Schizosaccharomyces pombe: one gene and its partner. The gene in region 1 interacts genetically with each later gene. Each region holds a gene or a part of one and is shown on either strand. Other genes may lie near its edges.

Region 1 (7,847 bases):
GTTTTGTTTACATTTTTACCAATGGGAAAACCTAATGTTCGAGGTCTACTAGCTGAATTTACGAATAACAAATCTTAATGTTTTTTCGTTGAGTTTACTTAGCCTAAGTGAAACCACAAGGCTGCTGTTAAAACTTTTAAAGGAAAACCAAGGTAGTGTGACTTTAAGATAATAAAGGATTCAATCAAGCATCGCTAATCCTTTTTGATTCCACAGTAAACAAAATATGTTATGGTGATTATAAGTATTAACTTAGATTATATAATTAATGGCTAATTAATATAAAGTTTTGATTTAATGTCTTTAAGTGTGCAATCCATCGTAAACATCATTGTCTATTTATAATAAGGATTTCTCATCATCTGCATTGAAAATCAAAACAACTTAGGAAACGCAACATTAAGTAATTAGAAATTTGGTTATGCAATGTGTACTAAACGGCTTGTAACTTAAAAGGAGCTTAACGTCGAACATTGTGAGTCTCCAAAAAACATAGTTTTTTTAGCAAAGCAGTAAATATTTGACGTTAAAATACTTGACAGATAATATTAACATCAAATGAATCTTATCATTTCTAAAAGCTTTGCAGTAGTTGCTTTGCATTCCCTGAATTTCGTTTTACATTCACTGCGCTTTCTTAAAATATGGTATGCTGGAAATTTGATTCCAACCACTAACAAACAAAAATCATAGATATTGCTAAAAATTAAACGATTGGCAAGATGGATATTCGGCCAGCTCGTATAAGTGACCTTACTGGGATGCAGAACTGCAACTTACATAACTTGCCTGAAAATTATCAGTTAAAATATTGTAAGTTCAATTCATTGTAATTCTTGCTGCACGGCAATGAACTTCCAGTATTAAAACAATGATTCTTATTTTCTAATTTAATGTAGACCTTTATCATGCTATTTCTTGGCCTATGCTTTCTTATGTTGCTACTGATCCGAAAGGACGTGTCGTAGGATATGTTCTTGCAAAAATGGAAGAAGAGCCTAAGGATGGGATCCCTCATGGTCATATCACAAGTGTCTCAGTAATGCGCTCCTATCGTCATCTAGGACTTGCTAAACGTCTCATGGTTCAAAGTCGTAAGTGTTAATTGAGAGCGAAGTAGATTACGGATATATCCAAGGAGGAGCTAGAGGGAAATCTTAAGCTTTTTTGCAGTTGTTATCGATGATTATTCCAATATGTATATATTTTATTTTGTGCAAGACTTGGTCTGCTAATACTTTGAATTGTTCATTTGGTGAGTTGGTTTTTTCCTTGCAACAATTCATTTTTTTTACCTAATTTGTTTTCGACAATGTTTCCTTCCTGCTGATTCCTTGATATTTTCGGTCCATTCCTTAAACAAAATTTTTTTAAAAAAAGTAAAAGATACTAACTACTTAAATGAACAGAAAGAGCCATGGTCGAAGTTTATGGCGCCAAATATATGAGTCTTCATGTTCGTAAAAGCAACAGAGCTGCTATTCATCTTTATCGTGATACTTTGCAATTTGAGTATGTTTTTACTCGCCATCATTGAAGAGATTCTAACATTATTTTAGCGTTCAAGGGATTGAAAGCAAATATTATGCTGATGGTGAAGATGCTTATGCTATGCAGTAAGTACTTTGTTGTAAAAACTAGGTTGGGGATGGTTGCATGGATCGTTTAATGAGTATTCTTTCCAAAAACTATATACAATCTTTGTGACAATCGTTCTTTCTTTAGTTTGGTCAACTTCTGTATAATTACCTACGTTGTTTCAGACAATATATGACTGTTCAACGTCATCACAACTATCTAGGTTACTAACAATTTTTAGCAAAGATTTTTCTACTTTGAAATTCGATACACCAGAAACCAACGACGAACTAGCAAAAACCGTTCAATCTCTTGCATTGAACAACTAATAAAATATATACCGTTATTTCTAATTAGTGAATTAGGGTGTAGTGTACGATACTGCAGTTATAACTTCGTGATAGCGTATTTAACATTTGATTGTACTCGCTTACTGGTGTACTAAATATATTTCGAAATAACTCTTGTAATTTCGAGTTTTTGTTTATCACATCTAACTGCCTAATCGTGTCGTTTGGTGTTAGGTAGCCCAACACCTCGATAGTCATACTGTATTACTTGTCACCAATATCCACTGCATTTTTAGACGAATACCTATTTAAGCTGAAATGACTTCTATAGCAAAAGCTTTTGTTGAAAAGGCGATCTCAAACAATCCGGTTACTGTCTTTAGTAAATCGTTCTGTCCTTTCTGCAAAGCAGCCAAAAATACTCTTACAAAGTACTCTGCTCCGTATAAGGCTTATGAGTTAGATAAAATAGGTAAGTATGGTATTCTTCATTTGTTTAAGAGCTGAAGATTCAGTTGATCGATTGTAAAGTTTCTTGAGTTATGTCTACATAAATTAAGTATATGAAATAATAGTCTAATTGGGTTTTCGAAACCTCATAATTGTGTAATGAAACTACGAAAATTTTTGTTTCCTTCCATGATCTTGAGAAATAGCGAAACATTTCAAGTTTTTTGTTCTGCTTTTCATCCTTTTTAACTAACTTGATGTTACACTAGAAAATGGATCTGACATCCAAGGTGTGTTTAGTTAACAAACTGATTTTATCATATGCTTACCTGAGCAGCTTATTTACATGAAAAGACCAAACAGTCTACAGTACCCAGCATATTCTTTCGCAACCAATTCATTGGAGGTATGAACCCAAATTTGTTTTCCTTGACCATTAATATTCTCGTTGGTTTTTCTCTGTTGTTTATTACTAATACATTATATAAAGGCAATTCCGATTTGAACAAACTTCGTAGCTCAGGCACTTTGACGAAGATGATAGCAGAGCTTAAGGAAAACAAATCTTCAATTTTATGATTATCTTTAGGATTTATATAGCGAACGACTTTACAATATTATTTTTTAGGGAAACGAGATAACGAACTGAATGTGCAGTTGCAAAACAATTCTATTATAACATTAAAGGTATCTTTATCTTCAATCAGTTTCTAGTTTCCTGCTCACTTTGAACAGCAAGTTTTCTTCAGTTGCAAAACACACAGTGTGTGCTTTTTTTTGGAAAAAGTTATTTAGCCAGATTACTTTTCTACTTACTATATACCAAGTTTAATAGTGAAATCATTTGACTTCAATCTCATCACCTCTAGTAGTCGCCATGCATTGATTGCCACTTGGTAATATAAATGACACAACAGAAGCGACCTCACGAAGACACACACACAGTACGTACAAAGTGATGTACTTTTCCTTTGTTCACTGAACCCAAGTAATACAATTGGTTTTTCGTATATATTTATTTATATTATTTTTCACTGATCATGAATAACCCGACTTCCGACGATCGTTTACGCTTCCAACAAAAATGCCATAAATCCATGCTAAACACTGGGGCGATATTTAAAAACTGTAAATTACGAAACGGAGATGTTTTGCAAGAAGTCACTGAAAGCTTAACTGAAGACAGTGAATTCAACTACATTGTAAATGAGTCTCAGAATGTTTCTACTCGTTTAATATTTTGGAATAAATGGATTTATATTTTGTGTGCTAATACTTCATCAAATATCACAGCTACAAGGATTTTCCGTTTAGATGATGATCAGCCTTGGAATTTGGAATCTTTAGTTGCAGAGGTTTGTCCAGTTGATACAGATAATCGGCTTGCTGAACATGCTGCACGTACCGCTAAAGATACCTCGGCTAATGAGTTAAATTATGAATCATATCAGGAGAAGAGCAGAGCTCCATTTGGGTTTGCTGGACCATTTGGTGCAATGCCTGGCTCACAACCAATGTTTCCTTCTATAGGAGCAAGTGATTTGTATCCAGCAGGAATCGGAGGATCTGATATGGGCAACGATGGAGGTATGATTCCTACATTCAATCATCCTATTTTTCATCCTGAAAACAGGTCTCGAAATGAACAAGCTTCAGCAAACCGAACTAATATACCACCAGGAGCTCGTTACGATCCCACAGGCCCTGGTGATTTTCGTGGATTCGGCAGGGATGAGAGGAAACCTCAATTTCCTTTTAAAGGCCCGCGATCTCAATTTCCCGGTGAACCTGACAATGATGACTTCATGCCACCTGGTTCATCCGATATGTTTATGTAAATTGGTCACTTTATAAGTATTACAAGAAATGTTAGATGATAGGATATGTTATTTAAATAATAGTAAAAGATTTTGGTTTTGATTTTTTTTTCTTAATATGTGAATTTTAATGCTCAATTTCGGAATAAACGCATACTACTGGATATCTCTACTTCTTTAAATAATTGAGTTTTCTACTATTTGCGTACAAAGTTTAGTAAGTTCCTCTTCTAAAGAGCGCATTTATACAAGTGTTAAGAATGAAACCAGCAGGACCTAATGAAAACGTCTAGTATTTATTTTCAATAGGACGGTCTTAGCACCGAATTGATAATTTCAAAACATACACTCGGGCACATGCCTACTCATAAATTTTTTAAGCTGTTAGATGTTTATTATTTAACCTCATCTAAACTTATTTACTACTACCTGCCACTAGAATCCAAGAACTAAACAAATTTCTAACCAAAAGTATAAAAGATGTAACAAAAGGTACCGTATGCTGTTAGGAACATTATTACTCCATTTCGACAGTTGCCGGAGGCTTACTGCTAATGTCATACAATACACGATTAACACCAGACACTTCGTTGCAAATACGGGAGCTGACCAACTTCAAAAACTTAATGCTAAACCCATCGTACCAATCAGCTGTCATAAAATCAGAAGTGGTAATAGCACGAAGAGCAATTACTTGTTCATGAGTACGCTTGTCACCCATAACACCGACAGCCTTTACCGGTAAAAGAGCAGCGAAAGCTTGAGAAATTTTATCATAATAGCCGTGGTTACGAATTTCAGTAATAAAAATGTGGTCGGCTTTACGCGCAATTTCAAGCTGAGCAGCATTAACTTCGCCAAGGATACGAATGCCCAAACCAGGGCCTGGGAAAGGATGACGCCAGACAAGGCTATGTTCAATACCAAGTAATTCACCCAAAGCACGAACTTCGTCTTTGAAGAGCTCACGAAGGGGTTCAATAAGTTTGAGCTTCATGTCCTTCAAAAGACCGCCAACATTATGGTGGGTTTTGATTGTCTGAGAAGGGCCCTTGAAAGAAATACTTTCTATGACATCAGGATATAATGTTCCCTGCAATAAGTATTCAACTTTACCGTTGGTTTCTTTAACAATTCGCTCAGCCTCTCGTTCAAAAACATGAATAAACGTGTTACCAATGATCTTTCGCTTCTTCTCGGGATCAGTAACACCTTTCAGTTTTCCAATGAACTCTTCAGAAGCATCAACTACTGTTAATTGAATTCCTAAATGCTTATTGAGGGTTTCACGAACAATCTCTGCTTCATTAAGACGCAGCAAGCCATTGTCAACCATAATGGCATGGAACCGATCTCCAATAGCCTCTTTCAGAACCTTTGAAGCAACTGTTGAATCTACACCACCAGAAACAGCACCAATGACATGATCACTTGGTCCAATCATTTTACGAATACGAAGAATTTCTTTATCAACGAAATTTTCCATACTCCAGTTGGGCTTAGCATGGCAGATTTCAATGGCAAAGTTCTTAATAAGTTGCAAACCTAATGGAGTGTGAGTAACTTCAGGATGGAATTGCAAACCAATGATGGGCTTTGTAACATGTGCAATGACAGCGAAAGGAGAATTCTTGGTGCGTCCAATTGTTTCATAGCCATTGGGAAGAGCGCTTAGTCTGTCGCCATGAGACATCCAAACCTCAAATTCTTTTGGCATGGAGTTAAAAAAGCTTTTGAAGACCTCGGTTTTGATTTCAGGTTCCATACTAACTGTAGCTGGACCGTACTCTCTCTCGATACCTGGTTCAACACAACGTCCATTCAACCATGCAATTTCTTGCATGCCATAACAAATACCGAGTACAGGAACACCAAGTTCAAAGACAGCAGGATCCACATGAGGTGCAATGTCATCGTAAACAGAATAGGGGCCGCCAGACAAAATAACACCAATAGGCTTAAATGGGAGAGCTTCTATTTTTTGAGTGCAAGGAAGTAACTCTGCATACACGTGAATCTCACGAAGACGTCTGGCAATCAAATGACTATACTGAGAGCTACAATTATGGTTAGTACAAACGAATCAGGAAGTCGAAAAGACCACTACTAGAGCCATTTTTATTTTTTATGAGATAAAAAATAGGCTCATTGAAGAATTGATCAGAGAAGAGATAAAAAATTCACAACTAATATATCACAAGCGCGAAACTCCTTCAATCACAATCAAATTCATTTTAATATAATTTTTAAAACGTACCCAAAGTCAAGAATTAAAATGGTATCAAAATATGAAGAAACCTTTGATATTCAGATCAGTAATGATGCTAACAAGCAAACTTACAGAAGTAGAGACTTCCCCGGGCACTTCAGTGGAACTCATGATGAGTAATTAAAATTAAGTCTCTTTTAATCTAATGAAGTTGGAATCTTTATGGCAACTGGCAATGACCACTGGTAACCCCTAAATGGCACAAAGTACTAGTATGGTGAAGTTGCTAAATCCTTGCGAAAAAAAATGTAGCCTTTTAAAGATAGACCAATGTAATGCGCATACACTATTGTTTATAACGAATTTTAGTGCAGCAATGTATCGCTCGTAATATTTCAGATATCTCCTTTTTCGATTTCTCCATATAATATAGGAGGTTTTAAGGTGAAAATTCACTTTTCGGATGAGTTATAAAGCACTCATATATGATATTTATGAAATTTTTTTATCCTCTTATTTTACTCTTTAGCTGTAGTCTTCGAATTGTATCATAGCCTTTCTCTGCCATAAATATAAGTTTTCAGAAAATAAAATGATAAAAAATATCAATTACTCATTTAACAAGTGGTAGCCATTGTTATAGCTTTTTTTTTATATCTTCTGGCCATGCTCAGTTTATTATTATTTTTTTTTTCATTGATCTGTGAACTTGTGTATGGTTGTTTCCATTTTATTACAATCCATAGAGCATGCAGGCAATTTCTTAAAAATAATCGAACTCCATTCAATTAAAAGAATGTTTCAGATTCTGTTCTATCAGAATAAATTGCTAGTTAGCTTATAAAATAAGTACAGTTATATTTTATTATTGACTGCTATAACTGCTATAACATGTATATGCAGTAACATTTTTAACATTAAATAATGTTGAAAAGTTTATAATATTTAAGAATCAATCAAATTTTGGTACATAATATTAAAACAATTTACTAAATAAAACATAAAAATAAAAAAAAAGCAAAATTATACTTATTTGCTTAATTAAAAAGATAAAATATAAATTTATTATCGAAGACTGCAATATAATAGCAGGTCTCGTGGCCCAATGGTTAAGGCGCTTGACTACGGATCAAGAGATTCCAGGTTCGACTCCTGGCGGGATCGATTTTTTGAAATCTAGAAATTCCTAGTTTATGTTTGTTTAAATGCAAAGCTGTATGAATATAGATATTATCGATGCCCCTTGTAATGCATTGACAACTACTTTAATTGTCTGTTATTCAACTATTACAGGATTCGCATATATATCTGATTTTTCTAAATACTATTATTAACAGTTCAACATGATTGTTGTTTTTATTTTATGTTTCATTTAATGCTGTTTCTAAGCCATTTACAGTTTCCACTTCTTTTATGGTAATTCTTTGTTTAATTCTGAGTTTCTTTGTTCTTTCGAAAATGTCTAAACAAAGAAATGCAAAACCGTCTAACACATTTATTACA
Region 2 (7,918 bases), on another chromosome or scaffold:
TGGTTATCGCTTTCGGAGGAATTTTTCATCTTTACTTCACCGTTCGTCTGAAATGCTGGTTCATCATTTTTGTTTAGGCTTAAATTTTTAATACCATTAGAAGATTCATCCAATGGATCTTTGGCATCCGCTAAAGCTTCTTTCGATTTGTTCTGTTTTTTTTCTTTTTGGGAATCAGTATTCTGTTTTTCTTTAGCTCCAGCTTTGGAACTAGCCTTTTGCAAAAGATAGTTGACTGATTTCTCTACGTCAAAGTAATAGTACCAAACTGTATCGGCAATTTCTTTTTCTGAAATAGGAACACCTAATAATGTCTCCCTTACTGTGGCTACAGCAGACCTGAATTCCTCTAGATATTGTTCGTTAATATTTTTAAGAAATCATTTACTAACCTTCCTGCTCTTCAGTCAATTCTTCCTCTCCTGGCTCCTCGTCGAGTTCATAATCTAGAAAGACGTTAAAAAAAAATACAAACTATTACAATATCAAATGGTACGAACCATCAAGATCAAGATTTTTTACATCACGATGCCTCGACATATTTTGAATTTGTTATTTTTGCCAAAAGTCAGAAACCAATAAATACTTCTTGTTTTAAAAAAAATGGTTTCTATTGATAAATAATAAATATATGTATAATATTTAAGTTGGCATTTGACACTTTGCTCTAGAGTAAATTCTTGGAAATATTCATACATCATCAGCAGCTTTAGCGAATTTTAGCAATGTCGCTATACTGAATTGAGTGCTGCAACAAGAGTTGTTAAAAATTCTCAACTGTAACAACTGAGTGTTTTAGGGTGGATGCCTTTTATTAAGCCGGACCGGACCCATTCTATTCATTATATAGTAAATTTCTCTCATTGTCTTCAAATGTTTTATGAACTATTGAATTCGGATGAGTAAGAGTAGGGAAAACATAAGTCTGTTTGTAGTGTCAAGTATCAAAAGTTGTTAAACATTAAATTCAAAAATTTTGGCGTTCATGTAACAAAATGAAATATTTAACTTTTTAATGACTAAAAAATGATTTACTTAAGTTTTCTAAACTATGCCAATATTAAAGTTAACAGAATCGTCAAATTTTCAGGAAATTTTAGTATGCCATACTCTCGTTAGATATGTTTGCAGCAATATTTAATTAATTATTTTCCTTTTTTTTATCTTTAAATACTGCTCATAGATATTAACAAAAAATGTTTATTTACAAATATGCTAGAATTTGTAAATAGAAAAAAAAGCTAAAATAGCTAATAATTTTAAAAAATTATTTAGTAGTTCGATTTTCAAAGAATTCTTTCATTAATTATTTGTTTTTACTTCTTAACTGCTCATGAGCATGTATATCGACAGAACACTCAACAATCTTGTTATATTCATCCTTTTAACTATTTAAAATTTATATTAATTCTGTAATAAATTTGTATGTTTGAATAAGCGATTGAAACTTCTACTCATTATAATTTTTCAATTGTAAACAATATTTCATGGATTTGTCTTAAAGCTACTGCGCTAAAACTTCACTGGCCTCGCTAAGTCGTTTAACACGCTTTTCATTAGATCGTTAACTCGCCATGAATGGTCTGGTATGCAACATAATCTTCGTATTCATATTTTTACGCGACCTGGCAAAGAAAGCTGGGCTTGCAGTTAAATTACTTTTTTGAAAGGTTCCTTTTGATTTATGCAAAGTTGTTGACCAAAAGGTTAAGAAATATTTTTAAATTGGATTGTGATCCACTGTTGTATTTCTAATTATTTATCGTTCTATTCAAGTTAAAGATTTTTTCTACAAGGTGGTAAAAACTACGAGTAATAGCCGTTTTATTATTTATGTTTCTCTTGAGTCGGTTTTCAGACATTATAAGCATCCATCCATCCAATTTTTGGAAGCCTACAAAGGAAGCACTGGCTGAAGAAATCCATAAAAAGTATGCTAACAAAGTGATACAAAACATTGGACTGGCTATTTGCGTTTATGATTTTTTGAAAATTGGGGAAGGAATAATTAAATACGGAGATGGCTCTTCATACATGAATGGTAAGTATAAGTCTGCTCACTTTATTTCATATGCCAATTCGCATTATCAATACGAAAGGCTGTCAGGATAGTGATTCAGTGGAAAAGAAAAACTTAAATGGTTCTAATTAGATTAGTGGTTTTCCGCCTTATAATCTTTCGTCCTTTTCGAGGTGAAGTAATGCTGGGAAAAATAAAATCGTGCAGTGAAGAAGGTATTCGGGGTATGTTAAATGTGTTTGTTTAAATGCTTGTTGTTAATGTTTTTCTCCCAGTAACTATTAGCTTTTTTGACGATATTTTCATTCCGAAAGATATGCTTTTCGATCCATGTGTCTTTCGTCCGGATGAGCGTGCCTGGGTATGGAAAATTGAAGGGGAGGACGGCTCAGAGGGAACCGAATTGTATTTTGACATTGATGAAGAAATACGCTTTCAAATAGAATCTGAGGACTTTGTTGATATTTCACCTAAGAGGAATAAAAATGCAACCGCGATTACAGGCACAGAAGCATTGGAATCGGTATCCCCATATACATTGATTGTAAGTTTTTTTTTTTATGTTTAGGGCGAAACTTGTGTCATTATTTATGAAGGGTGCACCATCTATTTGCTAGTATACAAGAAAATATTTTCTGCTTCTCTCAAATCGATAGAATTTACTAACTATATATTTAGGCTTCCTGTTCTCGTGATGGACTGGGCATTCCTGCTTGGTGGAAATGAGCTATTGGATTCGAATCAAAGTCAAACAAAATTTAAAAGCATCAATTAATCATTTACTCCAAATTGTATAAGTAGACTTTCATTCATGTTCTATTTTTCTTCATCTAATGCATCACCAAAATTTCCCAAAAATCACGTGGTCTAGAAAATGGTTGCAATTCTATTCTGTACATTCATCCCGTCTTATAAATTTCATTGCCGAAGGTTTTTGCACAAACCTTTTGGGGTTTTATTATTTCGTTGGAGATACCTGTGTTGTTTTTAGACATGTCCTACTTAAAGGTTGCTTTTAGTGAAAAAGGGTTATTTATAAATCAACTACTTCTTTTTTTTTTTTTTTTTTTAGCTTTTCTCTATTTAAAGGTATATTATTGTATCGAAAAATCAGTTTGTTTACATCTTTGCACAGCAACACATAATGGTTATGAAAACGGCGTTCTTCAAAATTTACCTTCTTGGATGATCATGGTATTTGCTAACAGGGGGCTACTTTAATAAAGGTACTTTCATGTCAAGCTTAAATTTAATCTGGTTAAAAGAGTCATATGTTCTAAAACTTTATATTCAATCTAACAACTGAAGATTCCGCACTGCGTAAAGGAATTTTTCAATGTTAAACAAACGATCCATGCTATGTATGATTTGATTGATTTTGGTATTGTGTATACTAATGTTTAGTAGTATTACCGAATATGGAAAATTTAATTAATTACACAAAAGAGCCGATTCATTTTATAGCATAATAGAATATCAGTCTACTTTTTATGAACAATGTTTGCTTCTTCAGCAAAGAATGTCCATCGCCAACCCACGTTACTCTTTAGTACAGCCGATTTTCGTTATATGTCAGAAAATAGCAACCTTAACATTTCAGCGCCTTGCTATTTGCTATTTGAAAATGACCAACAGCAATTTGACAAACTTCTAATTTTGTTGTATTTGTGCACAAATGCATGGACGTTATAAAGGATTCTTTCGGCTACTGTACTACTTTAGGGATAAACGAATATTTTTGCAAAATTAAAAATACACATACCCACAAAATCATTCACTTTCTTACTTCTAGTACTATTATTAATTTACGGAAACATGCATTAAGCAGCTTTTATGAGTTCCTTAAGCCTCGATAGCTTTTGCTTTACAAACTTTAATGAAACTTAGCAAATCCACGTGATTTGCCCCTAAAATGAATAAAGTTATGCCACATATTTCGGAATCACAAGCAAAGCGCAAGCACTTGACAAAATTGCGTAACCGATTACGCCTTCGGAGCTGACGTGAGTTATCGACTGAATATAAACACCTTATGCTGCTAATTCTGATTAGTCGACTGTATTTGCAAATATTTTCTACATAGGCTTGTCTTCCGTTAATTCTATTTTGTACACTACACCATTCTTTTTAGACGACAGCCGGTAGACTAAATTGTGCTTGTTTCTTGAACAATTAAAGTACATTGAAGAGTGCATATAAAAGAAATAAAAAATTTTTTTTTTTCTTTTACTTCGCTTGAGTCAAAACAGACTAGCACTTATTCTAGTACACTTGAAAGGTGGTGCTTGTTTGACTACATTCTTTGATATTGTAATCAAAAATTTTTTTTTTAAAAATTCCTTTTCTCCTGATTTACTTATTGAGGTGTTAAATTCTTGAAATTTTAAACGCGTTTTTTCCGCTCAACCTCTGTTTTCTTGTGTTTTATTAGGCTACTTTTTGCCTCCTTTTTTTTTCCTTTACCTTTAAAAAAACACTTCTCTTTTGCATTTTTGCAACTAAAAATGTTGACCTTAAACTCAACAATCAAGTCGGTCACCGGCTCATTTCAGTCCGCTTCCATGTTGGCTCGATTCGCCTCTACCCATCACAAGGTTTTAGTAGTTGGTGGTGGATCCGCTGGTATATCCGTCGCCCATCAAATTTACAACAAGTTTTCTAAATACCGCTTTGCCAATGACCAAGGCAAAGATACATCCCTCAAACCCGGTGAAATTGGTATTGTGGATGGTGCCAAGTATCATTATTACCAACCTGGTTGGACTTTGACTGGTGCTGGATTGAGTTCTGTTGCTAAGACCAGACGAGAATTGGCTAGCCTGGTTCCTGCTGACAAATTTAAACTCCATCCTGAATTTGTTAAATCCTTACATCCTCGTGAAAACAAAATAGTTACTCAAAGTGGTCAAGAAATTAGCTATGATTATTTGGTTATGGCAGCTGGTATTTATACTGACTTTGGCAGAATCAAGGGTTTAACTGAGGCTTTGGATGACCCCAACACCCCTGTAGTTACTATCTATTCAGAAAAATATGCTGACGCTGTTTATCCTTGGATTGAAAAAACCAAGTCTGGAAATGCCATTTTTACTCAACCCAGCGGTGTCTTGAAGTGTGCCGGCGCTCCACAAAAGATTATGTGGATGGCTGAAGATTATTGGCGTCGTCATAAAGTTCGTTCCAATATTGATGTATCCTTCTACACTGGTATGCCTACTCTTTTCTCGGTTAAGCGCTATTCTGATGCCCTTCTTCGCCAAAATGAGCAATTACATCGCAATGTCAAGATTAATTATAAAGATGAGCTTGTTGAAGTTAAGGGATCTGAACGTAAAGCCGTATTTAAGAATTTAAACGATGGCTCTCTCTTCGAGCGTCCTTTTGATCTTTTGCATGCCGTCCCCTCTATGCGTTCTCATGAGTTTATCGCAAAGAGTGATTTGGCTGATAAATCTGGTTTTGTTGCTGTTGATCAATCTACTACACAATCGACCAAGTTCCCCAATGTTTTCGCTATCGGTGATTGCAGTGGTTTGCCAACTAGTAAGACTTACGCTGCCATTACTGCACAAGCTCCTGTTATGGTCCACAATCTTTGGAGTTTCGTTAATGGAAAGAATTTAACTGCATCATACAATGGTTACACTTCATGCCCGCTACTCACTGGCTATGGTAAGCTTATCTTGGCCGAATTCTTGTACAAACAAGAACCTAAAGAATCTTTCGGTCGCTTTTCTCGTTTCCTTGACCAAACTGTACCTCGTCGCATGTTTTATCACCTTAAGAAGGACTTCTTTCCTTTTGTTTACTGGAATTTCGCCGTCCGCAATGGTAAGTGGTATGGCAGCAGAGGTTTGATTCCTCCTCACTTTCCTGTTAATTAAAGATTCAATCATCTTTCTTGCGTAAAATAATGCAATCTGCTAGGCATGATTTAGTAGCAACCCTTATATAATTGAATGTTACCCCCTTTCCTTACCATACCTTTACTAGGTTTATCTTTGATTAGAAAAACAGTGTTGATTATTAAGTACTCTAAAGTTATGTACGTCTGTGAATGTTTGAATAAAGTTATTAAATAAATATCAACTTTTTACTTCTAATTTTAAATATGAATAAAAATAGTTTGTAATACATCAACTATAAACGCCAGTAAACTGCACTTACATTGACTAAAGTAGATGCAAAATTATTGTAATACTCTACTCACAATTCCAACTATATCGTCGAATATCATATATACAAAAATATATATATTTATGCATTCATATTTTGCTCACATTTATAGACTTACATTCAAATAAAGACAAAACACAATTCACTCATAACTACTTCCTTCCGCACGAATTGAATTCTAAGCCAGCAAATCAATCCTAAAAGAATCTAGAGAAAAAATGCTACTAAATTAGAAAGCACGGCGGACAGGGGAACGAATATAAGGGATATCCTTGTAAGCATCAACAGTCTTTTTGGCACGTTGAGCAACACCAGAGGTGGTGAAATGGAATTTCTCGTATAATTTGGGAGCAGGGCCAGAGTCACCAAAAGTGTGCATACCAAAGGCCTCGTGAACGTAACGTCTCCAACCATTGGTAGCCCAAACCTCGACGGACATAGCAGGAATACCGTCAGGAATGACAGAAAGACGGTAGCTTTCTGGTTGTTGTTCGAAAACTTCCCAGCAAGGCAATGAAACGACACGAGCCTTCAAGTTGTACTCGGTCTCAAGGGTCTTGACAGTGTCAATGCAAAGAGAGACTTCAGAACCAGTACCGACAAGAGTAATATCGGCCTCCTTGTTCTCCAACATGACATAACCACCCTTAAGAGCATTTTCAATAGTAGAGTTCTCAAGTTGAGGAAGGTTTTGACGAGTCAAAGCCAAAATAGAAGGAGTGCTATCACTAGTCAAAGCACTGTAGTAAGCAGCGGAAGTTTCATTACCGTCAGCGGGACGCCAGCAGTTAATGTTGGGCATAGCACGGAAATGAGCAAAAGTCTCAATAGGTTGATGGGTAGGACCGTCCTCACCCAAACCAATAGAATCATGGGTAGCAACATAAATGACACGGCTGTTGTTCAAGGCAGCCATACGAACGGCACCGGCAGCATAAGAAACAAAGTTCAAGAAAGTACCACCGTAAGGGATGATAGGACCATAGACGGCCAAACCGTTCATGATACCAGCCATACCATGCTCACGAATACCGTAACGAATGTAACGACCGGCATAGGTACCGAGCTTGCTAGAAGGAGGTTGGAAATCAGCAGCGCCTTCCCAACGAGTCAAGTTAGAAGGAGTTAAATCAGCGGAACCACCAACAAGTTCAGGCAAGACAGGGCAAAGAGCATCGAGAACAATTTCTGAAAGCTTACGAGTAGCGACAGCTTTGTCACCGGGCTTGTAAACAGGAAGATGCTTCTCCCAACCCTCGGGGAATTTACGGCTCAAGATACGCTCAAGCTGATTGGAAAGATCAGGGTAAGATTGCTTGTAAGAAGCATACATTTTTTTGTACTCTTCTTCAGCAGAGGAAGCGATGGCGACACGCTCCTTGTAGTAGGCATAAACCTCGGGAGGAACTTGGAAAGTCTTGGTGGGGTCGAAACCAAAGAGTTTCTTGACATGAACACAGTCTTCAGGCTTAAGAGGACTGCCGTGAACACTGTGAGTACCTTGAAGTTCAGAACCGTAACCAATGGTGGTCTTGAGGTTAATCAAAGTAGGCTTGTCAGTGCAAGACATGGCTTCACGGAAACCCTTTTCAATACCATCAAGATCAGTATCACCGTTGGCAACACGAACGATGTTCCAGCCATAGGCCTCGAAACGCTTTTCAACGTCTTCATCAAAGGACATAGAGGTAGCACCGTCAATGGTAATCTTGTTGTTATCCC

What was found. Genes that interact genetically often act in the same process or in processes that back each other up.
Region 2: mutations in fub1 (region 1) and hmt2 together harm fitness less than expected from each alone (positive genetic interaction), as found in Schizosaccharomyces pombe (one large-scale study listed by BioGRID).

The regions. Positions count from the first base shown.
Region 1 is NC_003424.3:3,729,085-3,736,931, forward strand, and holds fub1 (PI31 proteasome inhibitor domain-containing protein), read left to right. Parts: upstream 1-3,250; 5' UTR 3,251-3,358; coding exon 3,359-4,156; 3' UTR 4,157-4,279; downstream 4,280-7,847. Other genes in the region: NatA N-acetyltransferase complex catalytic subunit Naa10, read left to right, coding at 723-813, 900-1,094, 1,410-1,512, 1,560-1,616, 1,820-1,907; glutaredoxin Grx2, read left to right, coding at 2,187-2,340, 2,588-2,608, 2,656-2,724, 2,809-2,897; GMP synthase Gua2, read right to left, coding at 4,653-6,192, 6,393-6,433, 6,477-6,515. UniProt on the Schizosaccharomyces pombe protein: May play a role in the establishment of transcriptional silencing boundaries, preventing the propagation of heterochromatic silencing.
Region 2 is NC_003423.3:2,587,086-2,595,003, reverse strand, and holds hmt2 (sulfide-quinone oxidoreductase), read left to right. Parts: upstream 1-4,070; 5' UTR 4,071-4,524; coding exon 4,525-5,904; 3' UTR 5,905-6,000; downstream 6,001-7,918. Other genes in the region: hbs1 (translation release factor complex GTPase subunit), read right to left, coding at 1-349, 393-446, 501-540; DNA-directed RNA polymerase III complex subunit Rpc25, read left to right, coding at 1,834-2,041, 2,158-2,244, 2,296-2,564, 2,699-2,746; tkt1 (transketolase), read right to left, coding at 6,426-7,918. UniProt on the Schizosaccharomyces pombe protein: Catalyzes the oxidation of hydrogen sulfide, with the help of a quinone.